7 linked regions of the Mus musculus genome follow. The protein of the gene in region 4 binds, or shares a complex with, the protein of the main gene of each other region. Links are inferred from orthologs where the notes say so. Each region holds a gene or a part of one and is shown on either strand. Other genes may lie near its edges. The genes, in order: Strap, Ppih, Lsm5, Snrpd3, Prpf4, Rbmx2 and Srrm1.

Evidence for each region.
Region 1: Snrpd3 (region 4) and Strap share a complex: the UniProt entries of both Homo sapiens proteins name them as parts of the SMN-Sm complex. The link is inferred for Mus musculus from reciprocal best matches to the Homo sapiens genes SNRPD3 and STRAP.
Region 2: Snrpd3 (region 4) and Ppih share a complex: the UniProt entries of both Homo sapiens proteins name them as parts of the U4/U6-U5 tri-snRNP complex. The link is inferred for Mus musculus from reciprocal best matches to the Homo sapiens genes SNRPD3 and PPIH.
Region 3: Snrpd3 (region 4) and Lsm5 share a complex: the UniProt entries of both Homo sapiens proteins name them as parts of the U4/U6-U5 tri-snRNP complex. The link is inferred for Mus musculus from reciprocal best matches to the Homo sapiens genes SNRPD3 and LSM5.
Region 5: Snrpd3 (region 4) and Prpf4 share a complex: the UniProt entries of both Homo sapiens proteins name them as parts of the U4/U6-U5 tri-snRNP complex. The link is inferred for Mus musculus from reciprocal best matches to the Homo sapiens genes SNRPD3 and PRPF4.
Region 6: Snrpd3 (region 4) and Rbmx2 share a complex: the UniProt entries of both Homo sapiens proteins name them as parts of the minor spliceosome. The link is inferred for Mus musculus from reciprocal best matches to the Homo sapiens genes SNRPD3 and RBMX2.
Region 7: Snrpd3 (region 4) and Srrm1 share a complex: the UniProt entries of both Homo sapiens proteins name them as parts of the minor spliceosome. The link is inferred for Mus musculus from reciprocal best matches to the Homo sapiens genes SNRPD3 and SRRM1.

The regions. Positions count from the first base shown.
Region 1 is NC_000072.6:137,741,582-137,745,081, reverse strand, and holds part of Strap (serine-threonine kinase receptor-associated protein), read right to left. Parts: intron 3,131-3,500; coding exon 2,993-3,130; intron 1-2,992. UniProt on the Homo sapiens protein: The SMN complex catalyzes the assembly of small nuclear ribonucleoproteins (snRNPs), the building blocks of the spliceosome, and thereby plays an important role in the splicing of cellular pre-mRNAs.
Region 2 is NC_000070.6:119,317,724-119,321,753, reverse strand, and holds the start of Ppih (peptidyl-prolyl cis-trans isomerase H), read left to right. Parts: upstream 1-1,230; 5' UTR 1,231-1,279; coding exon 1,280-1,345; intron 1,346-1,520; coding exon 1,521-1,585; intron 1,586-1,900; coding exon 1,901-1,924; intron 1,925-2,189; coding exon 2,190-2,234; intron 2,235-3,167; coding exon 3,168-3,210; intron 3,211-4,030. UniProt on the Homo sapiens protein: PPIase that catalyzes the cis-trans isomerization of proline imidic peptide bonds in oligopeptides and may therefore assist protein folding. Participates in pre-mRNA splicing.
Region 3 is NC_000072.6:56,701,900-56,705,956, reverse strand, and holds the start of Lsm5 (U6 snRNA-associated Sm-like protein LSm5), read left to right. Parts: upstream 1-1,257; 5' UTR 1,258-1,288; coding exon 1,289-1,334; intron 1,335-2,547; coding exon 2,548-2,643; intron 2,644-2,923; coding exon 2,924-2,951; intron 2,952-3,788; coding exon 3,789-3,861; intron 3,862-4,057. UniProt on the Homo sapiens protein: Plays a role in pre-mRNA splicing as component of the U4/U6-U5 tri-snRNP complex that is involved in spliceosome assembly, and as component of the precatalytic spliceosome (spliceosome B complex).
Region 4 is NC_000076.6:75,516,752-75,520,841, reverse strand, and holds the start of Snrpd3 (small nuclear ribonucleoprotein Sm D3), read right to left. Parts: upstream 2,801-4,090; 5' UTR 2,717-2,800; intron 1,529-2,716; 5' UTR 1,508-1,528; coding exon 1,382-1,507; intron 1-1,381. Other genes in the region: protein GUCD1, read left to right, coding at 3,646-3,688. UniProt on the Homo sapiens protein: Plays a role in pre-mRNA splicing as a core component of the spliceosomal U1, U2, U4 and U5 small nuclear ribonucleoproteins (snRNPs), the building blocks of the spliceosome.
Region 5 is NC_000070.6:62,407,344-62,411,582, reverse strand, and holds the start of Prpf4 (U4/U6 small nuclear ribonucleoprotein Prp4), read right to left. Parts: upstream 2,801-4,239; 5' UTR 2,709-2,800; coding exon 2,682-2,708; intron 2,009-2,681; coding exon 1,831-2,008; intron 1-1,830. UniProt on the Homo sapiens protein: Plays a role in pre-mRNA splicing as component of the U4/U6-U5 tri-snRNP complex that is involved in spliceosome assembly, and as component of the precatalytic spliceosome (spliceosome B complex).
Region 6 is NC_000086.7:48,693,537-48,697,803, reverse strand, and holds the start of Rbmx2 (RNA-binding motif protein, X-linked 2), read right to left. Parts: upstream 2,801-4,267; 5' UTR 2,689-2,800; coding exon 2,684-2,688; intron 2,485-2,683; coding exon 2,369-2,484; intron 404-2,368; coding exon 352-403; intron 1-351. UniProt on the Homo sapiens protein: Involved in pre-mRNA splicing as component of the activated spliceosome. As a component of the minor spliceosome, involved in the splicing of U12-type introns in pre-mRNAs.
Region 7 is NC_000070.6:135,325,647-135,329,146, forward strand, and holds part of Srrm1 (serine/arginine repetitive matrix protein 1), read right to left. Parts: intron 3,400-3,500; coding exon 3,358-3,399; intron 1,578-3,357; coding exon 1,446-1,577; intron 1-1,445. UniProt on the Homo sapiens protein: Part of pre- and post-splicing multiprotein mRNP complexes. As a component of the minor spliceosome, involved in the splicing of U12-type introns in pre-mRNAs. Involved in numerous pre-mRNA processing events.

The sequences.
Region 1 (3,500 bases), on a different chromosome or scaffold from region 4:
ATGAATTCAGTTTTCTTAAAACATAGAATTGTTCTTGGAATGTGTTGCTGTTGACCTCCCAGGTGCAGTGGATAGCGATGTCTTTACTTCAGATTATTCATTACTGCTTGTTGCTATTATGCAATTACATGTTTAACTATCCGTGTGACTCTACAGTTTGAACTCAAAGATAACTTTACTCACATGACCTTTGTCCTCAGAGTTTATAAACTGTCTGATGGTCTGAATAAAGTTGGCGACTGCATGAAACTTTAGTCCACCTCCTTTATCAGCTCCGTTCTCCCAAGTCCCACCCACTCAGAGCAGTGACAATGCCAGATTATTTTTCTTTTGAAAATTTCACTCTATTTTTTCTACAAACATGCATTATTTTAGTAAATACAAAAGGGTCATGCAGGCCAAGCAGTGGCCTATGTCTGCATACCAGCACTCAAGAGGCTAAGGAAAGAGAACTCAGGGCCCCCTTAAAAAATCAAAAAGTCAGGGACAGGCATTTGCCTAGCATATAAAGGCCAGTTTGAAGGCTCAACGCTGAAAAAAGTAAATAAAAGCATCAAGCTAGAGTGATATTTTACAGTAGGAATTACTACAGTACAGAGGGATGCTAAATGTTTTTATAACTGTTCAGGGTTCGGCTGGGGCTCAGGCTTTCAGTCCCCAACACATGAAACTGCTATCAGCAGCTGTTTTTAACTAGGGAGTGAAGGCCATGTGTGGTTTGAGTAAGAATGAAGTCTGCAGCCTTTTGCATGGTTCCCAGTTAGACTATTCTGAGAAGGATTAGGATGGGTAAGGGAGGTGTGTCACTGGGTGGAGGGGGAGGCTGAGGTTAAGAGCCCATGGCAGATCCAGTCTGGTTAGCTCTGTCCATCTCTTGCTTGTGGATCAGATATAAGCTCTCAGCTACTGCTTCCATGCCATACCTGCCTGGCTCCTGCTATGATGGCCATGGACTTATGCTCTGAAAATCTAAGCAAGTCCCCCAAAGCACCCAGTTAAATGTTTCCTTTTATCAGTCGCCGTGGTCCTGGCATCTCTTCACAGCAATAACTGAGATTAATCAATCGCATTATAATGAAGCTGTATTTTTCAGTGCACTTACTTACTCCCCCTACCCCGGGGGGGAGGGGGGGAAATCAACTAGTTTCCTTACCAGCCCTTCTCAGTTCAATCCTGAAAATTACTTCAACACAGACCATCAATCAGCACATAGCACATACACAGAGTCAGGCATGGTAGCATAAAACTAACTTTAACCCAGCACTCAGGAGGCAGAAACAGGTAAATCTGAGTTCGAGGTCAGCCTGGTCTACACAGAATTTCACGACAGCCAAGGATACACGGAGAGACCCTGTCTTGGGGGGTGGGGGAAACACACACAAAAACTCTAACGTTAGCTGTGCTGAATGTAGCATTACAGATCAGCCCCCGTGTTTCAAATACTCAACAGGCCAGTTACTACCAAATGAGATCTGAGGCAAGAGTCTACAGCAGGAATGCATGGTCCAGAAATGAGCAGCTACACACAGCTACAAAAATGAGCAGTTACATGTTTTAGAACGTGTTTGTTTCCTATTCAATGAAGCTGAACACTGAAGTATTCTTTAGACCACATCATAAGACTCCTGTCAGAGGAGAATGTGGTCTAATCCTTACAGAAACCCTCTAAGCACCAAGGCTAAGAACTGCACAGTCAGTCCTACAGTTGAACTCAGGATCCCAGTACTGAGAACAAAGATGTACCACAATCGGTTACAGTGCTCAGGGCACTGAGACAAAACCTCTTCCAATTTAAGGCACCATAACCAATAAAAATGTTTTAAAGGTATTTGAATGGATAAAAACATTTTTAATTAAAAAACAGCCAAGATTATGCATCATAGTGCTAATAATTAAAAGAAAAAAACCAAAGTGTGCACAGGCGCACACACGCACAATGAATGGGTTTGCGTCACTTTCCTCACTGTGTTTAGTTCCTAGGGATTCAAACCCAGGCTCTCAATCCATGCTAAACAAACACTCTCACTGAGCTGTAGCCCCAGGCCTTGTCTCTTTAAAATTTTAATTAGAAAATAGAAAAGGGGGGGGGGGGCTGCAGAGCTGGCTCAGCAGTTCAGAGCACTGACTGTTCTTCCAGAGGTCCAGAGTTCAATTCCCAGCAACCACATGGTGGCTCACAACCATCAGTGATGGGATCCGATGCTCTCTTCTGGTGTGTCTGAAAATAGCTAGTGTACTCATATAAATAAAATAAATAAATAAATCTTTTTAAAAAATAGAAAACAATTATCACAGTGATTTCTACCTAGTAAGAAACATACAACATCATGCCAATGGTTCCTTTGATAAAAACAGAATATAAAATATGCTAATAAAATTATCAGAATTTCAGCTACCTAGGATATGTATTAGCATACTTTATATTCTGTTTATATCAAAGGAACCACTGCCATGATGTTGAATATTCCTTACTATGTAGAAATAAATATCACAGGTAGCTGAAATTTCACTAATTCCTGATTACAGACTGCTCAACCTAAGAGAGTTGTTAAGAGGTGTGGGACCACGTCTGTCTGTCTGAGTTACACAGCACAGGTAAGAATCTGCCTTTAAAAGAATCACGAAACATTTTGGTACAAGCCTTCCAATTTTTTTTCAAGATTACTTTATCTGTATGTATATGTGTGTATACACACACACACACACACGCACACGCACACATACATATATGCGTGTGTGTGTGTGTGTGTGTGTGTGTGTGTGTGTGTGTGTGTGTGTGTGTGTGTGTGTGTACATGGGGATGCCTGTGGAGGCCACTGGAAACCAAGGCTGGAGTTCCAGTCACTGTGAGCACCTGATGGAGGTGAGACCTGACCTTCTCCCTAAGAGGCACAATCACTGTTAATCAACAGCTGAGCCAGCTCTCCAACCCCTGATTTTTAAAGTCTCTTTCCAACAGAAATAAATGAAGAAATGTCCTGGACAGACATACCTTACTGCACTATGAAAAGCAATAGATCGTCCATAAGTAATAACCAAAATCTCTCCTTCAGGAATATACTCCATGCTGCTAACAGACATATTAAAATTCAGAGATTTCACTTCTGTCATTGTGGCATGATCCCAGAGCCTGCAAATGAATAAGCAAATGAATGAGCACATAAGTAAATTATTTATTCAAGTAGCCAGAAAAAAAGTCTTTTATCTATACATAAAACAATCACAATTGTAATGAAGCAATTTTCATTACAAATTAATAGGAACTGTGAGTTTCTATGAAATATAAAACCTGTGTTAGGCTGTGGATAACTTTATATTTTCCCAACGCCTTAACAACACTACCTGGTTCTAGCTTAACTAATCTGAACTGTTGCTTGGGTCTATCTCGAAGCTATGCATCTTTTCACAAAATACATCAGCTCTTAACTTACAAAGGTTAGAGGCATCAAGAATCCCCTCAGGCAATCCGCCCTTAACCACACTGGGAACAGCTACATAGC
Region 2 (4,030 bases), on a different chromosome or scaffold from region 4:
ACCAGGGCTGGAGAGATGGCTCAGTGGGTAAGAGCACTGACTGCTCTTCCGAAGGTCCTGAGATCAAATCCCAGCAACCACGCCCTCTTCTGGGGTGTCTGAAGACAAGTATAGTGTACTTACATATAAGTATCTTTGGGCCGGAGCAAGCATGAGAGAAGGAAAAGAGGGGGGGGGGGTAGCAACTGAATGCCCTCCAAAACAGAGGCAGAAGGGTACTTGGTAAAAGTGGTATAAGAGAAGCCAGCCTTTACTTCCTGGTCTTTGCTACCAGCAGTGGCAAACAGCATTTTAAATAGGCAAAGCCCCATACGATTTACTAGCCTAGAGACCCATCCCATGGGCAAACAACAATCCCTGAGACTGTTGTGCTTGCAGACAGGAACCTCGCATGGCTGTCCTGAGAGACTCCACCCAGGAGCTGACTCAGGGATGCAGAGACCACAGCCAAACATCCGATGGAGCTTGAGGACTCCTGAGGGCCTCCGAGGGGATTGGAACTCCACAGGAAAACCAAGAGTCAACTATGACCCTTGGGGCTCTCAGAGACTGAACCACCAACCAAAGAGCATAGACAGGCGGGACCTAGCCCCCTCCCACACACACACGGTCTTTCATGTGGGTCCCGAACAACTGGAGTAGGGGCTATCCCAAAAGCTGTTGCCCTGCTGTGGAATTCGTTTCTTCTGCTTGTCTGGACTCAGTGGGAGAGGATGAGGCCAGCCCTGCAGAGACTTGATGTGCTAAGGTGGAGGGAAAACCAGAGGGGGTCTCTACCCTCTCAGAGGAGAAGAGAAGGAGGGGGTGGGGAAACCGGGAGAGGCGGCAGCACTGGGGATGTAAATGTGAATTAAAAAATAAAAAATTTTACAATCATAAGAAAATAAATAAAATTACATTTCCAGCACCCGACTGAGCCAGGCTACAGTAACAAACCATTTTAAAATATGGAAGGTGACTCAGGGATCCTCGGCTCATGAGCTGTGACAGGGGACACCAAGTGTGACTGCTCAGGACATGCTGTCTGCAGAAGATTCATTTCTATTGCACTAATACAGTCATGCAAGTGGGGAGCCCACAGACTTTGACAAAGATGCCTGCGTTTCCTCCCCTCAGCTCCGACCAGCTCAGCCAAACAGTACCATTCCCAACAACCTCAGCGCGCGCCACACTTCCGGGGCGGGGCGCAATCGCGGTCCGTTTCCACTGCGTCTGCGCTCCGGATGAAGTTCGCGGGACCTGCCACCGGAAGCCGGGTTTCTACTTCCGGGTCAAAGCCATGGCGGTGGCAAATTCAAGTCCAGTCAATCCAGTGGTCTTCTTCGATGTCAGCATTGGCGGCCAGGTGAGGTGCGGGCGACCTAGCGGCCCGTGCGGGCTGGTTGGCCTCGGGTAAGGGAGGCAGCCCCTTATAGCCCTCCCGAGACCGGCTGGGCCAGGCGGCGGAGGGAGGTGGGAGCTTTCGAGCTTCGTGGACAGCGGTCGTGAGCTGAGTGTTGCGTCTCCCGTTTCTTCTGCAGGAAGTTGGTCGCATGAAAATCGAGCTCTTTGCAGACGTGGTGCCTAAGACGGCAGAGAACTTTAGGTAAGGATATGCTCCAAGTGAACCAGAGCTGAGCCCGAAGCCGGCCTCCAGTCGGTCTTTGCCATGTCTGCCTCTGTCCATCTATTCATTGCCTTGCAGCTCTGTGGTCTGGGTATTTCACTGGCCAAACAGCTACCGGCTGTGACTGATCCCATATCAACTTCTATCACTAGTCTACCTGCCCTGACATCCGCCCGATCAGTTAGTTGGCGGACATACTGGCCCCAGTGTTTGAACTCTCCTCTCCAGAGATTAGAGGTGCTTCAAGCAGTGATCGTACGAAGGCTAAATCGTTTGCTCTCTCTTTCCCTTTAGGCAATTCTGCACCGGAGAGTTCAGGTCAGTCTCAGATGTGTTTGATTTCTCTGCCTACTCCTGAAGGGGTGCCCTGGATGTTTGGTGAGGGTATTGGAGAACCATGAACAGGTCTTAAGTAATGGAAGATGATATGCAGAGAGAGGGTGACACCTTGAATGGGTTCTTTCTCTCTCTTTTTCCCCCTCCAGATCTTAGTGAGAGCCCTTTTAGCCTCTGGTGTAGCCTAAATGGGAAAGGCCCACCATTGTGTTTCCCCATTCCAAGTCTCTTCCTTCTTTGTTTACAGAAAAGATGGCGTTCCGATAGGATACAAAGGAAGCACCTTCCACAGGTAAGGGAGGTTTTTGGAAAACTGGAAATGCAGTCATTGCTTGGTATCTGTACAGGCAGTCCTGCACACCTGAGTTCAAACTCTGTGAGGCTTACGGCTGTTGTTTTAAATGGCATGTTCGCGGCTGAGGCTGTAGCTCGGTGGTAGAGAATTGGCCCAGCATTCATAAGGCCCTGGATTTGGTACTGAACACCATGAAGCCTATGCACAGCGCCTTAAGTCATCCCTGACTTGGTGGAATGCTGTATTGCAGAAACGATGCCAAGGAAAGCATGCTGTACCCTTTCAGTACCTGTTCAGTACAGGTGCGTGGCCACGTGCTCCCAGAGGTCTAAGCTCAGATCCTTAGGCTGCCACAGCAAGCACTTCACCCACTGACCCATCTCCCTGGCGCCAGTCAGGACTTCAGCAGAGGCTTTGCTAGTTACCGTTGCTAGGCAGTCATCTGTAGGAGCCTGGCTTTCATGATATATTTACTTATTTTTTGTTAGAGTTTGACAGAAGTTGCTCTATTCTAATCCTGAAAATGTCCATGTCTCCCACATAAGGGCTTTAAAGCTACAGTCTGTAACCCTCCCTAGCATTCTTGTGAAGTAGTATGTGTTTTCCGAGTTCTTCAAGGAAGGCTAAGCAAAGCGAAGGGCCATAGCTGGTGTACTAGCTAACACCATCAAGTCTCTGTGTGTGCAGTAGTCCATTCACCTAGATTTGCTGTTGTTCTTTTCCCCCAAATTGCAATAAGCCCTGGACATGATTTTTTCCTTTGGTGACTGTTGGTGATTCTAGCCTGGTTTCAGCCCCTTCCTGATGTTCAGGTGCGAACTCACGCATCTAAGATCAACTGAGTTAAGACTGTACTTGCTCGCCCTTTTCTAAGCTTCAGTGATTAATCCACTGAATCTTTTCTCAGGATTTTTTTTTTAACTGTTTCAGGGTCATAAAGGATTTCATGATTCAGGGTGGAGATTTTGTTAATGTAAGTACTGCTTCTTTTCTTTGTTATTTTTTTCTGGCAGGGCCCTAGTCTTGAGACTTAAGAGCAATAGCTAAGTTAAGTGGAGAGGGCATGGGATGTACTGTAGAGTTGCTGGCTACCACTGACTGTGTCCTTAGAACACATAACAATACTCTACTGAACCATAAACTTCCACTTTCCAAACCCTAGCTGTTTGTAACTAGAAACTGGGCTTTGCTGGCATACCTATAGGTGATCTGAGACGGTCCACATTCATTGTTCACAGAAAACTTTGAAATTGACTGCAATTTTTCCCTCAAAAGGAAGGGAGCTGACTGCTTTTGTCTCCCATTTTTCCTTCCACATCTGCACATCTTCTGTCACTGTCTAAAAACTCTAGTTTTTTGTTGGATTGCTCTGGGGGGGGTTAGGGGCCGGTCTTTCTTTCTCTTTTCCTTTTGAAAGCTAAGGTATTAATCACAAGCTGGTTAGCAAGCAAGGGATCAGATCAGGAGAGACAGGAAGTTTAAAGGGTGTTCGCTTGCTTGCTGAGGTAGCCCAGCAGATCCATTCTTCACAAAAAGACCATGACTGTTGGTGTCTCCATCCTTCCTTGGAGTGTGTCCAATAAGCTAGAATATCTCTTTCTTAAACCAGCTCTTTCCTTACCCATCCACCTCTGTGCATGCTGTCTCCTTGCTGTTAGCATTGTTTATGTGGGTGTGTTACTAAGTCCTTTTGTCTGAGAGATGGTCTTACTCCATCAGTTGTAAATTTAGTTAGATTTTTGTGAGTCTTTAGAGGTCTTCCTCCTACACAGGGTTGCAATGGCAGGCTTTAG
Region 3 (4,057 bases), on a different chromosome or scaffold from region 4:
GCTGTCAAGTGTGTTTGTAATTGCCTTGGGACCTAGTAGATCTGTAAGACTTATAGATTGGGCGTGGAGGAAAAAAAGCCACCACTGGCTTGGAATTGAGAATGGAGCTGAGTTTTCATTGCTTTCCATATTAAATCCCATAGTGCTGTGCACATGAAATGTACTATTTGTCCTCCTTCCCACTCTCTTGGTTGAAGACTTTTCTGAACATTGTTTTATGTATCCAGCAAGCTGCTAGTCAAACAATATTCCACTGATATGTTTTTTCAATGGAGGAATGAAGGGTGCTCATCTCTCATATTTAGGCTGTTTGGTTTTAAGTCTGTCACATGAGATGGACAAAGGCAAAGTATTTATCTGCTTTAACAACAACAACAACAACAACAACAACAACAAAACAAGCACGTAAACGAACAAACAAAAAACACTAGGGCCCAAACTCCGGGCCTCATGAATGCTAGGAAAGTACCCTATAGCCAAGCTACCAGCTAGCCCTTGTTAGTTTTAATTTCTTATTTTGTGTCGGGGTCTAAGAGGGCCATGCCTGCAACAGATGCCTCCTTTTGTCTCTCAAGTGTTGGGTTTACTGGCCACTCCACGTTAAAAGGGGGCTTTTTAATCTTTTCCAATGCAGAAGTGTGATAGCAAGGTTTCCAAACATGATGGAGTCAACATACAGAGTGACATCTTACGGTTGCCTGCAAATTGAAAACTGATAGTGACTTTAATGCCTGTAATAAACCAGACACCTAGAAACGACAAGAAGAAATTAAATAATAGTAGAAGTTTTTTGTTTGTTTGTTTGTTTGTTTGTTTTTTCTAAAAAAAAAAAAGCTTGTGAAAAATGCTGCTTTATAGACTTTCAGTCCTCTGGCCTTAAAAGTACCAGATTCCTTAAAAAAAAAAAAATGAGTAGTTGTTGAGGAGCATGCAGAACGAGTTTATAGTAGGAAATATAAATTGATTTTATTGCTCTGAAGAAAGATACAGGCTTGAAATGCAACCTTCTAGAGGAAAATTAACCGACTCAGAGATCTCGTATGCTGGTCTTCCGGCGGCAAATTATCTCTGAAGTTTAGCAAAACTTGGGGGTACCATAGGTGCCTGTTGGGTTGGTGGCAGGGATAGAGATCCGAACCTCTCTATCGAATCTGTCTGCGATCCATTGGGATCCTCTGGATCTCAAGATCGGCTTTGGATTAGTCTTGTCTGAACCAGCTGTGGAAAAGGGCGGAAGCGCGCAATTTTAAAGTCTGCGCCGGTGTCCTTAGCCACTTCCGGCGTGGCCATGGCGGCTAACGCGACCACGAACCCGTCCCAACTCCTGCCACTAGGTAAAAGTCTTGTTTGGGGAGCGGTCGGGTTGCTGCAATTCCACGCTGGGGGCCGAGGCTGGGCCACCGCCCCTCCGGGCCCGGCTGTCCGGTCCTTGGCGTCACTGGGCAGACAGACAGACCGTTTTGCCTGTCGGTGGTCGGTGAGGGTCCCACTTAGTGAAGGACGTGCTCGGCCTTTTTGAGCTCGCCAGTAAGATGTCATGAGTCGCGCAGTCCCAGTTCTCAGCTTGGCCTTCTTGGTCTCCAGATCAGGTAGACCCTGTATTGGCTTGGGTAAGGAGTGCGCCACGGCATACAATGAATCTTACAATAGAAATCTGGAAACTAGCCCCGTCGTTCATTAATTCAACAAGCAATTCCCGCGCAGTGCCAGAGAACTGTTGAATAATGAACTTGAATTACAGCCATTGCTTTCAAGATCGCACACCGGCACGCATCGTGCTGAGCAATTCTAAGATGCTGAGATGAACAGGTTGGCCCAGGAGCACAGAGAGTTAAGGTTAAGTGAGAGAAGGAGTGACGGGAAAGCCGGTGTCTGTAATAATGCTTCTCCCTTGTCATGTTTTGGGGCTGGTGAGCTTAGTGAATGTGTCTGTGATTGAAAGTTTTTGCAGTGTTAGATATTGTTTATCGGTACAAACACTGATGAAGAAAAACAGTTATGGTCTCCACCCACCTCATGGTGTGTGTTTTCATACATTAATCAAATAATCTAAATAAAAATCACAGTCCTATTAATTGCAAATAAAGAGTTAAGTGAAAGCTAAGGCAAACATTTGTGCTAACGATTAAACAGAGATTTGTGTAAGATGTAAAATTACCGAATGGTTCCAGATACATATGTAGGAGAGTATGGCCTTTTTTGACATCATTGGGAGGGGAGGCTCTTGATCCTGTGGAGTTTGATGCCACAGCATAAGGAGAATGCTGGAGTGGGTGGGTGGGTGGGGGAGCACCCTCATAGAAGCAATTGGGGAGTGGGGAGAAGGTAGATATGGGAGGGGTGTTGTGGAGGGGTAACCAGGAAGGGGGAATATCATTTGAGATGTAAACAGATGGAATGATTAATAAAAGTAAGTAAATAAATAAATAAATAGCAAAAAACTGAATGTTTTTGCTTATCTTTAATGATAAAAAATAATAAGTGAAGTAGGCATTCAAATGTTGGTCGATCTAATAAGTAGGTAAAATTACCCTTTTCCTTCCACAGAGCTTGTGGACAAATGTATAGGGTCAAGAATTCACATTGTGATGAAGAGTGATAAAGAAATTGTCGGGACACTTCTAGGATTTGATGACTTTGTCAGTATCCTTTTTAAAAGCGGGAATGGTGTAGGTTTCTAAAGATGTATTAATATAAGAAAGAACTATAGACAACCGAAGAATTTCTGGTTATTACATTAAGAATAATTTTGTTTTCCAGGAACTTGGTAGTATTTTAAGAGGTGTGTTTGCTGACAGTTGATAGGGCTCTTGCCAACAACAAACCTTTTGAATTTGCACTATCATAGTGTTGAACATATTTTAAACCAAACAAAAACATATACCTGAATAAACCTTATTTATTTTCTTAACATTAAATTCAGATATGGTGTTGGAAGATGTCACAGAATTGTGAGTAGTATTTAAAAAATTAAAAAAATTTGAGAGGAGGGGAGGAAATCTCTTTTTAATTAAAGATGGTGCCTTGATTACTTTTTTCTATTAATGTGAAGAGACAGCATGACAAAGGTATCTTATGGAAGAATGCGTTTAACTGGGGGCTTGCTTACAGTTTCAGATGGTTAGAGTCCCTGACTGTCCTAGCTAAGAGCTTATATGTTAGATAATAACCAAGAGAGAGAGAGAGAGAGAGAGAGAGAGAGAGAGAGAGAAGTAAATAGAGAACGCGAGCGCACTAAGTGGGTATAATTTAGGTTTTTGGAATCTCAAAGCCTAACAGGGTGATACACCTCCTCCAAAAAAGGCCACACCTCCTAATCATTTCCAGTTTGCCAACAGAGGACCAAGTGGAGGCCATTCTCCTTTAAACCTCCATAGCAGCTTTAGTATGATCGATATAAAAAAAATTACTTGTTGGAAAATACCTTAATACTGAAACGTTATTTACTGGTGTTTGTGAGGTCCAGTTAAAGGATTATTATCTTCATATTATTCCTGAATTTGTAAGAAATTAGTGTGAACAAGCTTTATGGTGAATTATATTTACATGAGTATTATCCAATGGGCAGTTTGTATTCTGTATATATTTACTGTAATTATATGCGTTCACATTGAATCATGTGTAAGAATAACAGCTTTGTCACTAGGGATTGAACCCAGGGCCTTGTGTGTGTGCTCTGCCACCAAGCTATTCTCCTTACCCCAGTAGGACTTTTAGGGAGGGAAAGTGTTTCTAATACTGCCTTTGATTACTTGTTTATCCAGACTCCATTTAATCTATCTTTTTAGTGAAATTACACCAGAAGGAAGAAGAATTACAAAATTAGATCAAATTCTACTAAATGGAAATAATATAACAATGGTAAGACATTAAAACTTTTCTCTGGAAATTATTTTACTTTTGTAGTGTAGGGATTATGGAACTGACTTAAACTTCTATTTCGTTGGCAATGTTCATGGCACTGAGATAGACACACTGAGGATGGGAAGGGAGCCTTGGTGATCTGTGCCTCAGGGCAGCTGTTGAAAGTGCTTTGGTCCTTGTCTTAGTCAGGGTT
Region 4 (4,090 bases):
TCAGGAGACAACAGGTTGGCACCCTCCAGCTGCCACTCTGGGGGACCTGCCAGGGCATTCACGCTGCGACAGCCCTTCCAGCAGGCTGCCAGGGACTGACCACAGCAGAAACATCAGAGCCAGTCCATTACTGGCTCCAGTTACTCCTCTTACTTGGGTGAAACTTCCTCAGCACCATGTTGTAGCCTGAGGCTCCTTTTGCTCACTCTGCCTTCCTTTCCTGGACTGAAGACCCTCCTGCTACGATGATTAATATTACCGACTTGATGGATTTAGAATTACTGAAGGGACAGGCGTGTCTGCGAGGGATTGTCTAGGTTAGGTGGAGGTGAAAAGTAGAAACTGGGCTAAGTCCTGGCACTCATCTCTGCTTCCTGACTGCAGATTCAATGTGACTAGTTAGTACCCTCCTCAAGTTCTTGCCACCATGACTTCTTCTGCATCAGACTGTCTCATCACACTGTGAGTCGAAATAAACTCCCCCTTCCTTAAGTTGCTTTGGTCAGGAATTTGATCACAGCAACAAGCAAAGTAACCAATCACTTCCGCAATCCTGCTCGGTCACTGGCGTCCTTCACGCCACCTCCCCAAAGTCTCTGGTGTATCTAATTCTGGGTTGGCATTTACAGCACAGAGGATCCAAAACAACTCCATCCTCATTTTATTCAGGGGAGAACAAGTGACCAGGATACCCAAGGTCCTATCATTATGGCCCAACTCAATTTGGAATCAGGGAATTCTCTGATTCCAAAGCTCAAGTTCTTAATTAATGGGGAAAACCCCCAAACCATATGCCAAAACTTTGGCAGTTTTATCAGATGAAACTTTCTCCAAGACAAAAGTAAGCACACACAATACGTGAGTAGAAGATCCTGCAAATTATACACTGTGCTGGGAAGCAGACACTGGCTCTGAACCTGACCGACTCTGAGACAGAAAAGTGAAACTTAACTGGTTGTTTTATAGACAAGTACTTAGCAACTGTATTTGGCTAAAGGCTACCTGACAGTAAATATAGACCTAACCCCAGAGAAATCTAGGAAAAGAGATTGTGCTTTCAATTCAGCATTCTGACTCCCTACCAAAAGCAGTGTGGTCTTGCTATAAAGCCCAGACTGGCCTTGAACTCGAGAATCTACCTCAGCCTCTCAAGTGCTCGGATACACACGTACAACCACAGGCTGTCAAATGACTTTTCTGCCTCAAGGCTAAGTCTATACTGACATAAAATCTTAGAGCCTGTAAGAGTGCTTGACAGGTAATAAGTACTTAGTTAATAACTGTTTGATGAGAATAACTTCATTAAGACCTCCAAGTACACCGCTCTACCCACAGGATAGAAGCCACAGCCCTTTCCCAGCCCTGGTGCCAAGCAGGATACCTGACAGTTCATGTTGTCCTCTGCTTCAATGAGCTTCCCTCGGTATACTTCCCCGGTGTTGGTCTCACACGTCACTATGTGGCCTTCAGCCTCGTGCAAGACTTTAATCGGCACACCAATAGACATCTTGGCAGGACTCTTCCCGGGCTACAGGGAAAGAGAGACGATGGTCATCTTTCAGAGCTTAAGGACTGGCACGCCATGGGCTTTGTAAATGATGTCAAGAGCTGCGTTTCCTGTGGAAGGAGTGTGGCTCTTGGCCTCAAGGAACCACCACAGCAAATTAGCGCAACACGTAGGGTAGGGAAGGATGGTAAGCTGGACAATGAAAAGTAATGGGAACAAAGAGTACTACCCCCATTCTCATCCCAGCCATATGACCCTTTATAGTCACTAAAAGGGCTATGATATAGACCCGGAGTGTAAACAAATCACTGTTTACATGGAGTTAAATAAAATGCAAATAAAAGCAAACTCAGTCTTTCAGTCACACCAGAAATATCCCAAGTAGTCAGCCACCACATTTGGATAAAGGCTACAGAACCTAATAGTACATATAGACCTGAGCCCCAAGGAAGCTAGGAAAAAGAGCTTGCGCTTTTCAATCCAGCGTTTTGAATCCCCACCAAAAAGCAGACCAAAACTGTCAAGGCTACGGTGCTATAAATAGGAAATGTTCATCAAGCAGAGAAATAGGGTAAACGCTCGACTTTAAGTCTCACTACAAGACAAAGACTATGCACAGGGCTTTTAAAATGCTGAGATTGGAAACGACTCAAAACCGGAGCACACCATTTATTTGCATGAGAAGACTGTAAGGATGCTAAACACAGTCTCTCTCTCTCGGTGAGGAACCACGGCTTTCAACTTTAGGAGTGTGGGTTTCCATGCTGAAAATGGTAGGGAAACACTGCAGGATGATAGCCAAAGGTTCAAAAAAAAAAGAGTAGCATCTACAAAGTGGATCGAACATATAGCACGGCAACTTGATTAAACTTCTGCAGCAGCGTGGAAAAGAGGGCCACTGCAGGAATGGGAGTGGAGGCAGGGATGAAAGGGACGTTGTAAATGATGATCCAAAAGGAAAGGAGGTAATTAGCAAGAAATGACTGCCCGTAAGCTTCGGAAATCGGTGACCTGAGAAGGCACCGAACGTGCAGACTAGGCGTAAATTAATAACTGTTCAAGGGTTCGGGAGATGAGCTTTGGATAGGCCCTGGCTTCCCGCCCTCCGCTAAGCAAGCCCCGCTGAGCTCCTCCGCAGCGGCCCTTCCAGCTCCTAAACCCCCTGGGGAAGCCCTGGCCTCCTCTCTCCCGTTAGCCGCCTCTCCTCACCAATTAACTGCAGGCTTTATTTTTTTTCCGGTTCTGGCACAAACGTTAGAAGGCGAAGGCGAGAGAACGACCGGCCCGACTCTCACGAATACCACGCGCTCCCAGAATGCCTTGCGCAGGCCCCTCCCTTTCCTTTAAGCCTACTTGCCCTTCACTCTCACTTAGCCGGCTGGGGAAACCAGGGCTCTAGCACAATAGTTCCGGCACCGGAGAGGGCCCGGGGGACCGCCGGAAACACCAATCCTGGAGCCCAACAAGGGAACATGGTAACCCTGAGTACTGTAGTGGCGGATTGGGCGGGATCTGGGCTTGAGCCCAGTGCTCTGGGGAGACAGGAAGTGAGGCTTGGACTAGAGATTTAAGCTTTGGATCCGGCCACCGGCAGGTAAGGGACGCACTGAGCCCTGGGAACTCTCATTATTCCTTGTCTGGGTAAGAAGACCTAAAAGGAGTCGGGAAAGTGTTCCCTGGAGTCTCGATAAGGCACTGCGGAGAACCAGAGCTTCCATCTGAGGCTGCAGAAGAACAGACCTAGCGGAGGGAGAGCGTGGGGAGCCCACGTCGCTAGGGGAAGGGCTTTGGGGGCGGGGCTCGGGGAGGGGCGGGGCTCGGGGAGGGGGAGGGGCCCCCGGAGCGTTTCAGGGAAGGACCTACGGGTAGCGGGTTCTGGAAGGAGAAGTGGGGGTGGAAGGGAAGAGGCGTGGCTTATGGAAGGGGCGGGTTTCCAGCGCCCAGACCTGGAAGGGATTAGGCGTGGCTTGAGGCGGCCTAGCCACCGCCTACCCGGCTCTGAACCGCGGTGGCGGCGGCGGCGGCGGAGGCGGAGGAGGAGGAACTCTGCGCTCACTGGCCGCGCTCGCTGCCCAGCAGAAGTCGCCGCTGCAATCAGCTCCAGGCCGGGGCCATGGGCGCCCTGCGCCATCCGGGTCATGAGGACGGAGGCAGAGGCAGCGGGGCAGCCGCTCGAGCCCGGTCAGTGCCTCTCTTCAGGGCCTTGCCTTCAACCGGGGGAACGGAGGGGGACTCCGCCCTAGAGCCGGGCAGGGTCTGGCCGCGCGCGACCTTGGGTCGTCTGCGGCCTCAGCCCAGCCTGGAGCTTCTAGTGGGTCCTAGCTAGGTGGATATTCCTTCTCATCTCCTGTCCTCCACTTAGGGTCGTTCCTGAGTCTCCTGGGGCTTGAAGCCCAGGGAGTGCTGAGAGCCGTCAAGTGGAAAAGTCCAAGGGGCAAAAAGGCACAACCTTGTCCAGAATCGAATAGCCCTGCTTGAAGCACGTTGGGTGATCCTATTCCCCGGGGAACTGTGGAAAGCCTGAGGCCGAGAAAGAGGGGGAAAGAATGGCTTGAGAGCTCTCAGCAAAGGGGCGGGAAAGAG
Region 5 (4,239 bases), on a different chromosome or scaffold from region 4:
CTCACAGAGACTTCAGCAATATCGAAGGGTCCCTGCTGGGCTGCACCATGTATCTTTGCTGCAGCCTTGGTGCTGAGCATGTGCAATTCTGTAATGTACTTATTGTCTGCCATGCCATATGACACTAAGGAACACCACACGCAAAGTGGCTCAGAGGCCATTACATCTGATGAATTGCAATGTCTTCACTGTACAAAGTTATAAGGAAAACATTTAATTTCCTCAGCATCAAATATCAAATAGTTTTATCTTTGGACTATACCGTGTTAAAATATTTGTTTATTTAGAATTGCTGTTTGGACGATGGGGAGAAGCTCAGTGTATGCCTGTTAAGTTCAGCACAATATCTGAGTTGCTAACTAAAAAAAAAAAAAAGAAAGAAAGAAAGAATCAAAGTATTATGAAAAATATTCAAAATGCCCTGACTTACAATATTAAAATTTCAGTTAACATTTAATTCTCTATCAATAAACAAGTATGTCCATCTTATTAATACTGAAATTTGTTTTGGTCTTTAAGAGCTGAAAAGTTGTAAGCATATGCAAGAACTGTATCTAATCTATCTTACTTTTTATAGCTTACCATTTTCAATTCTCAGCTTATTAAATGATAGCAAACACATAAACCCAAGTGATGCTTTAAACTGAGGGCAGGAGGGCCAGGCCACCTCTTCCATTTATTTCACTATCTCTTTCTATAGCTTAGAACATTTCTTATTTGGAAAGCCCAACTCCTACCTGCTAAAACAGTACCCCCAGGAGAGCATTCACACACAGTGAGAGGAAATAATGACCAGGAAAAACAGGATTCCTCTGACAACAAGGTAAGTCTTTTTGGATACTATGGCGATTAGTTTTAAAACCCACAACCCCTCGCCCCTCCTAACCCCCAGTGAGACAGGCTTGAAGACATTTAAGAATAGTATATGTGTACAGGGAAAAAGTGTGCACATTTAAATACTTATAATAACTAAGTTAAACTAGGCAGGTAGTGGTTTTTATTCTTTTTTATGCTTTTATTCTCAGCACTCTGGAGACAGGGGCAGGAGAACCTCTGAGTTGGAGGCCAGCCAGCTTGGCCCATGGCTACACTGAGAAACCCTGTCTTGAAAAACAGAAACAAAAAGGAAAACACAAAGAAAAACCCTAGAAAAGTAAAGGAAAGAATTCTATAAACAGTTATAAACCAATGCCAGAACTAGGTTACATCTCCCAAAGACAAATCCACTCAAGAAGTCTACAGAGACCACGAGTCATTCCTGCAAGGAACTGTAGAGAATACAAGAAATCCACTCACTGGATGATGTCAAGCAGGTAAAGTCACAGGCTCAAAGGTGAAAACAGAAGGGTAAGGTTGCACGCGTTTGCAAGTATGTCTTCCCAACATTTCATTCTAAGTAGGTACCACCACATTGACTTTTTTTTTTTTTTTTTTTAGAAAAAGGAAAAACAAGCCAGTAAAAAAACATGGGTTCTGGGGCTCAGTCTCAGGTCCTAATGGTCACAGAGAAAAGCTTTTGGCACCTGAACTAGCTCCCCAGACCAATAGAAGGTTTTGGCCTATAAACCTAATACTATGTGGTTTGGGAAGGTGTTCATCAGAATATTGAATCATCAAAAGTACATGGTGGCGACCAGGAAGGAGGCAGGAGGAGTTTGAGGTCAAAGGTAAGAGACTGTGGGGGGTGGGGGGAGATGGAAATGTATGGCTCAGTGGCAGAACAGTTGCCTAGCATGCAAAAAAAAAAAAAAAAAAACCCGGGTTGGATTCCCAGCACTGTTTAAAAAAGGGTGTGTGTGTGGGGGTAATGACCTGCAATTTGCATCTTACCGGATGTTATATTAATATTTCCTGCTTCAATGCCGGCTTTGAGTCCTTCTTTTCCCAAAATCCCAGACTCTCCTTTGGCCAGGCGTTCCCGCTCTTTCTCTTCCAAGCTTCCATAGTAGATGTGTGGTTTCTTCACAACGGGAGCAACTAAATCGTCAGGCGCTTTGGTTTTGGTTGTCTGTTAAATCAAAGACCCGGACTAAGGTTTAGTTCCAGCAAACCATGCTTCCCAAAAGAATGAAGCTAACGCTGCACTTTCATCTTCTTTCCTCTCAAAACTAGAGGAGAAAGTCGAAACTGACTTTGTGCGAGTTAAGGCTCTTGTTAAGTTTGGCACACAAATACGACCAATCAATTTCTGCCTGAAGTGTCTTGGTTGTTTTGGGGCCCGTTACTTTAATCGACTGGAAAAGCAATCTCCGGTTTTACGAAAATAACTTCTCACTGCTGGGCAGACACTAAAAACAACCTAAACAATCAGGGTGGCTCTAGGTGCACCAAGTCACGATGTGACTGGAATACACATTTCAAATACTTTCAGAGCCGATTACAAGTTGGGAAGCCTCATCATAGTAAGTACGAGTCGGACAGCTTAAGTCAGGACACAACCCGATTCCAAAGCACCGTGTTTTGGAGCAGCCAGAAAGAGTGGTCTCTGCTCAGGACTTAAGTAAGAGCAGTGCAAAGAGAGCTGCAGCACACGAAGACATCAGGAAAAGGCTACTAAGGTCCACACTAGGGTCCCTCAGCTTTCCTCCTCCTCGGCCCAGACCCGTAAGGTAACGGCCCTTTCCCACGGGAACCCCCGGCCTCTCTAGGGCAGGCCTGAGCTTAGATCCAGAGCTCCGTACCGTGGAGGAGGCTCGTGAGGAGGCCATGCCGGGCGGCGGAGACGCGAGGCCCTAGCCAAATCCGCGTTCTACTTTTCAGACCGGGAACCGCGCGCCTAGCAAAGTGGAAGTGCGTCACTGGCCGGAAACGTATCAGAAACGTACTACGTGCGAAGTATCTTGGGAATGGTAGTTGCCAAAGGTCGGCTGGAGTCGAGGGGCGTGGCCTTACAGAGCTACACAACCTCGCGGGAGAAGAGGAGCATGGGAAGAGAGGCGCAGAGCAGCCTGGGAGGTGTAGTTTGGGCTGCGCAGCAATGGAGTCATGGTGGGAGTTGAGGTTCTGGGGAACTGCAGAGGCCTGAAAAGAGGTAGGTTTGCGGATCGCAACCATAATCTGGAACAAAACGAGGGTCTCTGTTATCCTTCGGGAGGCCTTCCGCCATTTCGAAGCTGAGGCCTGTGTTGCCATGGAAATCTCTCCCTAGACTTCTGCAGCCTTGGAGCTGGGAAAGAGGACTGTTGTCCACGACGGAAGTCCTTCGGGGGCCCCTCGTAACTCGGTGGCTACGTAATCAGTTTGGGCTTCAAGAAGATATTAAACTCTAAGACCTTCTAAGGCTAAAATAGAGATGTGGTGGAGGAGCTGCGGCCTAGTTTGTTGTGGGTTTACTTGTCTACAGCCTATTCTTTGTCTGTGTTCTTTGAAATAAAGGGTCCATGAAGGCTCCAGATAAAGAGCATATCAGCAGTAGTAGCTCCAATGAATGTTAGGCCATCAGAGATAAGGTTTTTTTTAAAAAAAAAATCCTTACATGAAAGTTGTGGGGGTTACAAAAATATGCGCGTTTGCCGAGCTGAACAGACTCACTTCCACACTCAAGGCCCTGCCCCGAACAACTCCAATTAGAAGAGCACTTCCTTTTCGAGGACTTACTAATGCCGAGTTACGCGCAACGAGCTTATTCTGTTTTAGTCATCTCAGTCACGGACAAGAGTACAAGCCCGAAAAAAACCAAAAAACATTCTGGTGAGAAAAGGTCGTTCTGGAGCCGTAGTAGTAGAATTAGTAACGTGGCAGGTCGCGAGCCGCCGAGCCGCGCTTTTAACTCGTACTCATTATTGCTCTCTAGTGGTGAGGCTTTCAGAAAGTTCCCTCGCAAGTAGGGAATTATTGTTGTTGTTGTTGTTTTTCTAAGTGTTTCTTCCTTTCCCCCTTGGAGCTGACTTCCATTTCTCTACGTAAGGATCTGGTAGAAAGTAGTATCTGATAGAATAAAGCAGTTTTGAAATGTCACGGGCCAGTGTTTTGATTAGATCACCCCTTGCTGTGCTAAGCCTCCTGAGAGAAGTGTAAATGTTTCCTATACATTGTAGTGTTTTGTTTCGTTCTGGATGCACGCAATAATAATTTCTATGAATGCACACTATAGCAAAACTTTCATGTAGATCACTATCATTTAGCTTTTTATTTTAGTGGTCTAAGTGTAACTTTGTTTTTTTTTTTTTTTTTAAATTATTTATTATATGTAAGTACACTAGCTGTCTTCAGACACTCCAGAAGAGGGCGCCAGATCTT
Region 6 (4,267 bases), on a different chromosome or scaffold from region 4:
GACAGACTCTCAAACGATCTCAGCTCTGGGATCTCCCATGGGGTAACTCTCTGGGACTGATCTAGGGTCTAGCCTTCCCCATGGAGGGATGTCATTAGACATCCCTAGAATTAAAATAGCTTTGGTGGCTTTTTGACGCAGGATCTCACTTAGTTGTGCAGGCTGACCTGGAATGCATTATGGAGCCTAGGCAGACCCCAAGTGATCCTCCTATCTCAGGCACTTGTCTAGTGGCATTAGAGGTGTACAACTCCACACCCAGCTTGAAATGCTTTGTTGCTGTTACAAAAATACACTATGGAAGCAAACTGTTCCATGCATCCAGGAGATAGGAACTAACAGAGGACTTACTGTGAGAACACACAGATGATGTCGCCTTCTGTCAATTCATAAGGAAGCCCTCCTGGAAGAAAACACACATTCTCCAGTTTAACAAGCATTAATCAAGCATTCACTGCATGCTATGCACTAGGCCAGACACTGGAGGTGCAGATTAAACAAGCCTTGATCTGGAAATTATCAGCCTAATACAATGACAGAGTGGGTACGATGACAGTTGTCTGGAAGAAAAGTCATTAGCTCTCAGATCCCTTTGAGTTCGAGGCAAGCCTGGTCTACACAGTGAGTTTCAGAGCGAAACTGTGCCTCAAAAAGAAAAAAAGAAAAAGAAAAAAACTAATTAACTCTGAGGGGAAAGGCTAGGGTCATAAATTACCAAATTAATCTTATCATTGAGTCTTCATACCCAAAGTCCTATAAAGCACATGATTTCCAGCACAAGACTCAGATTTCATAAACACTGACTTCAATACACTGTTACTGCCCCCCACGTGCAAACTAGGATGTATCAAGGAAAGTGCTAAGCGGTTCACAGGAAGCCTTTCACATGTTCCTCAATGTTCTCCTTCATATGCAAAAAGGGGACGTTAACATATTTGCCTCACAGGAGTATTATGGAAATAAACTAAAATGAGGCATATAAAGTGCTTAACACAATCCCTTCAAAAGGCAAACTGCGGGATTTTGGTTGTGACATAAAGAGAATACACGAAAGGTAATATTGTCCCCAGAGACTCAAGAGTTCCCCTTTTACAAAGGCTCTCAGTCTCTAATCTTGGTAAAATAATTCTAAAACAGACTAAAGGGCAAGCTTGAGGTCCATTGTGTTAGCATTTGAGGGAGAGCTGATAGGGAGGCAAGGTGTAAGATTCGCCAGCTACCGGGAGGAGGAGGGAGGAGGGAGCTACAGAAGGGTTGGCAGCCATGCCTTCAGAATTAGGAGGTGGAGCAAGCAGGAGTGCACAAAAATGGGGACAGAGCAGTAGCCGCAAAGGGACAGGAAAACATTTAGATGTGAGATGAGAAAGCCCAGCGTGTTAGGGGCAAGCAGGCTCAGGATTTCCGCCAGCACCCAGAGAACAGAAAGAAAGGGAGAGGTGGGGCTCAGCGAGGCCTCAGAGCAGCAGGTAGACTTAGGGCGGACATCAGCACCACCTGCACTGGGGATCATTTCCCTCCCGTGTCCCTAGCGTGTCTGGCGGTGACTGAGCTTTCCTGACAGGTGTCTACTGGCCAGATGACTTAAAGCTCTGTTGGATTATGTCTGAAGGAAGGGGCACACTAGTATGTAACATGTAGGTTTCCTGAAAATGTCCTGGTATCTACCCAGGGCCAGGGGTGTACTCCAGACTCTATTCTTTTCATCAGAAGTAGCTTTCCCTGATCCTGTCACATTTTCAGGTGGCCTTTCAAATGTTCAGCCGGAGTAAAGCTAATTTTGAATCAAGCCTTAATGTCTTCAAATCCAGCTAATGTCTGACCAGGTACATCACGGTACAGCTAAGGACTAGGAGCAGAAGCCCAGGAGAGGAGAAAAATCATTGTGAGGAAGGGCAGACACACACACGATCGGTATGTGACCGTGACGAAGAGCACAAGCCCCACAGTTTTGAAGTGCTGCAGCATGTGACCTTAAGCAAGTCCAGTAACCTGTCTGCGCCTCCGTTTCTTTGACATCGTGATAGGTTGACTGTGGAATGAACTGTCTCTGAGCAGCCAAGTAGCAAGGTTTTGAATAGAATGAAAGGCAAATACCAATTCTAAGAAGCGCTGAAGGCAACTGAAAAGTGGACCTGTGAGCAGAGGAGCTTCCAGAGTGTGAGGTGATGAGCTTGTTCAGAAGCGATGACCAGGGGCACTAAATAACCGGGGGAGGGGGCATAGGGAGGAGAGGGGAAGGGGTGGAGAGAGGAGAGGAGAGGGATGAGGAGGGGAGGGGAGGGGAGAGGGATGGAGAGGGATGGGGAGGGGAGGGGAAGGGACGGGGCGGACTCTGAAAGGCACTGCTGGAGAAAAATGGGGACCTCACCAACAAAGATCCAGGCGCTGTGCTTGTATTCCGAGTGCCAAGACACCTTTTCCGCCACTCCAAGTTGAACCTCTCGCTCATTCAGTTCATTGATCAGCTTCACCTTAGTCAGAGGGCTGCGCGGGTGGCAGGCAAGCCGGTAAGTGCGATAAGTACTTTTCCTCCCAGCCCGCCCTCTCCCTACCGAGCTTCTCCCGCCCGGAGGCCCGGAGGGCGAGGACCGGTCCCCGCCCTTTCTGGGCGGCCATCCTCAAGCCACTCTCCCTTCCGCGGAGAACACTCCCGCCCCTATCCGCAGAGAAACAGAATCCTTACTTCATATTCGCATCTTCGCGCGGCTCGCTTCAGACGACAACAGCTTCCGGGTGAGGCTCCAAAGCGCTCCCGCGACCCGAACACCCAGCTCAGATTGGAGCACGGGGCCCGCGAGGCGGAACTTCCGCCGGAAGTTCCGGCCCGCTAAGCCCTGGCGCCTGCGCAGTAAGGTGAAGGTGCTTTCTCAGGCATTCGCTCCTGTGGAGGGACAGTTCCCAAGTCAGTCCCCGCCCCCTTTTTGATGGAGAGCGATGGGGGGACCCTGTGTTCCTCTGCCAGTCGGAATTAAATGCCCACGTATAAACAAGCAGGCAAAAATTAGCATTGTCAAACTAGTACCTATCAACTAAAGAGTTAGAGAACTTAAAGGTTGTGAATGAGAGACAATTTATGCACGTTATCTCTGTTAGATCTCAAACCCCAGGCTAAGGCTCACACCATTGGCTCCTCCCAGCACTCCTCACCCTGCCCCTACCCTAAACCTCTGCCTCCCAGGGGGCGGCTCACTTTCTGCCATTTGCATTTTTCATTCAATCTCTTGTTTGTTTCCTTGTGTAGCCTTAGCTGTCTTGGAACTCGCTCTGTAGACCAGGCTGACCGCCCAACAACCCCATGAAATACAGTTACCATCCCCATTTTACAGAGGAAAAAAACTGAGCTTCAAAAAAATTAGCTTGAAGGTCTAGAGAGGTGGCTCAGTGGTTAAGACCATTTGCTGATTTTTTTCCAGAGAACCTGCACCCAAAACAGGTGGCTCACAACTCCAACTTCAGAAGATCCTCCTCTGGCCTCTGTGGGCACTTGCACTCACATAATTTCTGTCTTCTTCAGATAGAAATTCAGTTTTTCCAGCATATTTCTTAAGTAGGTTATTTTTTTCCCAATATATGTTTTTGCTTCCTTTGTCAAAAATTAAATAGGAATAGCTTTGGCATTTTATTCTGGATTCTCTTATTCTATTTCATTGATATTAATGTCTACTTTTATAGCAATACCAGGCTGTCCTTATGACTATAGGTCTATAGTAAAATTTGAGGTCAGGTCCTATAATGCTATCAGCATTGTTCTTATTCCTTGGGATTTCTTTTCTACCTATTGTCTTTTGTAGTTCCATATCAATTCTTGTGTTATTTTTCTAAACCTGTGAAATACATCAGAATTTTGAAAGGTGTTGCATGAAATCTGCAAATTAATTTTGGAAGTATACCCATTTTCACAATATTTATTCTACCAATTCAGAAGCATGGAACTCTCTTTTTCCCCCTGAGACGTGGTCTCACTATAGAGCTTGTGACTCTCCTGGCATTCACTTTGTAGAGCGGGCTGGCCTGAAATTCACAGAGATCCACCTGTCTCTGCCTCCCAAATGTTGTGGTTAGAGGCAGTATGGAACTCTTAAGGTAAGAGACAACATGTAATATTCTCTTTTGAGGCTGATCAGAATATTACGTCTCCATCATTAGGGCCAGAGGTAGAACTCAGAATCCATTCTTTTAACAAGAGGAAGTAACTTTCTCTTAATGAGCTTTAACAAGGCTCTGATACCTCCACCTTTACATATGGCATTCTAAACCTTAAAGAAAG
Region 7 (3,500 bases), on a different chromosome or scaffold from region 4:
GCTGTCTTCAGACACACCAGATGAGGGCATCAGATTTCATTACAGATGGTAACCCAGAGCCATCTCTCCAGCCCCTTGGTCACTTAGTTTTATGGCAAGCACTTTCACCCACTGAGCCATCTTGCTAGCCAATCCAGAATCAAGAAAATTAATTGAATAAAAAGAAGTAACTAGTCGGGCTGGAGAGATGGCTCAGCAGTTAAGAGCACTGACTGCTTTTCTGAAGGTCTTGAGTTCAAATCCCAGCAACCACATGGTGGCTCACAACCATCTGTAATGAGATGCCCTCTTCCAGTGTGTGTGAAGACAGCTACTCTGTACTTACATATAAAAAAAAAAAATCTTTAAAAAAAAAAAAAAGAAGTAACTAGTCATAACTATCCTGTAGCTAGTACTCTGTCAGGAGATATTTCAAAGCAATACACATACCTCCATGACTGACAAGAGGATACTGTGTTGTGTTTAATGGAGAAAGTTGAAATTCTCAGAAACAATTTAAATTCATCAAACCAAGAGAATTTACATAATTATATAAAACAAAGTACTGTTTCATAAGAGAACCTCACATGTGTTGTGCAACTGTGAGCATCAGCTGTTGCCAGGCAGTCTTTACTGTGTTCTCTGTGACAGGAGCTGGAGAGAGGGCTCATATCCCCCCACCTCCTCCCACCCCACCCCCCAGTGTATCAGTTGACCTGGAACTTAATACAATTTAGGCTGGTTCCAAACCAGTGTTGATCTTCTGCCTCTACCTCCTAAGAGCTGGGATTACACACAGCCCATGACTGACATTTCTGAAGAGTTCTAACCTCTCCCTTCATGGAATCCCCTTTTGACTGGGACTGCTAGCACTTGCAGTCTAGGGTCCTACATGATTGGCAGGAGCATCACCAAAGCTTTCACAGTGCGCAAAATGCCAACAGGTTAGTGCAGCAGCTAACGTGCACAACATGGTAGCTTCAGAACTCCTGTGGCTGTGCAGCCACTGATAGTTCTCACTTCCCGCACCCTAGATATCCATCTGTTTACTTCTCCCATTTGTTTGCTGGGCAGGGTTTAGTTTCTCTATAACCCAGGCTGACCTCCAACTCAAAATGTCCCTGGCCCAGCCTTTCAGGAGTATAGATTCTGAGCAGAATACCCTTGGCTCCTATTTCCTTTTCTGTCTTTGTTTTTTTGTTGCTCTGTGTAGCCCTGGCTGTCCTGGAACTCCATCTGTAGACCAGGGTGGACCTGAATTCAAAGATCTGACTGCCTCTGCCTTCTGAGTCCTGGGATTACAAGTTAGCATCACCAGTGCCCTGTTCTAAGTTCTGTTTCCACATAGTTCTGTGTCCCATAAAGGAGCTCACATTTATGTGACCTTTTACAACCTAAGATGCCTCTTACAAAGCAACTTCCATGATAAAGACCCAGAGCTACCATGAGTCACCTGGACACAGTACCTTCGTCGTGGTGGTGGGGTGGGAGATCTGCGCCGCCGAGGAGGAGGAGGGGGAGGTGGCGGCGGAGGGGCTGGAGAAGGAGACCTTCGCCTTCTGGCAGGAGGGGGAGAGGGACTTCTCCTCCTTCTACTACTAAATAAGAAAGCAGAGTTCTCCTCAGTCAGTGACATTTATAACTAAGCCCCCCTAGGAAGTATATTTCCAGTGGTTAACTAACCCAGAGCAGAAACATTGTTTATGTTTTGCTTTTGGTATGAATTAAAGACAGCTTTGTGATATTAGCTTCAGACAAAAACACTCATTTGTTTGACATAAATCACCCAACAGAGGAAGAGAAAAAATTCAAAAACGGTCATTAGAACACTTATTTTTTAGTTGGGACACACATAATAATCAGTTGGAAAACTTATCTGAAGCTTATATGAACCATGTCAGGGCTAACAGCCAATGTTAATAGACACCAAATAACTTAAGGCCCCAATCTGGAAGCCCTGGCTTAGAGCTGCCCCTCCTCCGCAGCAGAGACAGAGGGCAGACAGAGGGACTGCACACACTGAGTGAATGCTCTATCTCGGAGTCTATCTCCAACCTTTACGGTCTTATCTAAGAAATATATACCCGGGCTGAAGAGATGGCTCAGTGGTTAAGAGCACCGACTGCTCTTCCGGAGGCCCTGAGTTCAAATCCCAGCAACCACATGGTGGCTCACAACCATCTGTAATGATAACTGAATCTCTTCTGGGGTGTCTGAAGACAGCTACGGTGTACTTACATATAATAAATAAATAAATCTTAAAAAAAAGAAGAAATATATACCCACCACTGAAAAGGGACCATGTGTCTTACCTACCAATACCCTAAAGACAAACAACAAAGCTATCTTAAATACTAGAGCTGCCCTGGGGGTAGTGTGGTTAAAAGTATATTCAAGAACCAAACACTCCCCAACTCAGAGTCTGTAATAAACCTGTAACACAAGCCATATACCAAGCGTCATACATTAACAAGCTAGAAGCAACCTTACAAAAGACTTCAAGTTAAGCCTGTCTGTAGCCCTTGACACACGGAGAGAGAAGTCAGTGTAAATAATCCTTAGCTCCTGGCCCAGCCAGGGCTGACACTGTGGACCTGGCTCAGTTTTTAAGGTTTATCAGGTCTCGACTCTTCAGAATTCACTACCACATTGAATTTCCAACCAGATTTGGTTTAGGTTTGCTGGTGATATGTGATTAGTACTTCATAGTAACACTTTACATACTCAAAATTATACTTCATTTTATCCTCCTTACTATATGACACTGAGCCAGGTGATCACGGCACACACCTTTAAGCCCAGAGCCCGCAAGTCAGAGGTAGGTGGATCTCTGTGTCTGAGACCAGCCTGATCTACACAGCAATTCCTAGGACAGCCAGGGCTACCCACAAAAACCCTCTCTCAAAACCAAGAAATTCAACAAGTGGGAGTAGAGGGAGAAAGCCAGAGCTAATAAGATGAGCTCAGCAGATAAAGGCCCTTGCCACCGAGCCTGAAGAACTGAATGAGTTCGACTCCCAGGACCCACTTGTTGAACACAGGGATCCAGTTCCTACAAGTGTCCTCTGACCTCCAACAGACTGTGGCATGTGTGTATTCACACATATATATCCATGACAAATAAAAATACAATGAAGACTTTAAAAAAGTCACTCCCTACAGAGTCTAGAATTATCAGATTAGGAAAGGCTCTACAGTCATCTCCTCACACAGCTCTTTGTATCATTAATCTGACATGGTAAAAACAAAAACACACACCAAAGCAACTTAAGACTTTCTCAGCTGTCATGTGTCTGTAAAATGGGGACAGTCACCTTAACAGAAAACTAAGTACACTTGGTATGTAACCCTCATTTGCAAAAACAGTATCTAACCAACCTTTTAGTCACTGGTGACTGCCATCGCTTTCCCATCTGCATCCTGAGAGCAGTGGAGAAAAACAAATGTCAAGAATTCCACTCATGAAAGTTAAATCCTTCTTGCGGAAGCATTTTTTAAAGCCTCAAGATGCCTGGAATTAT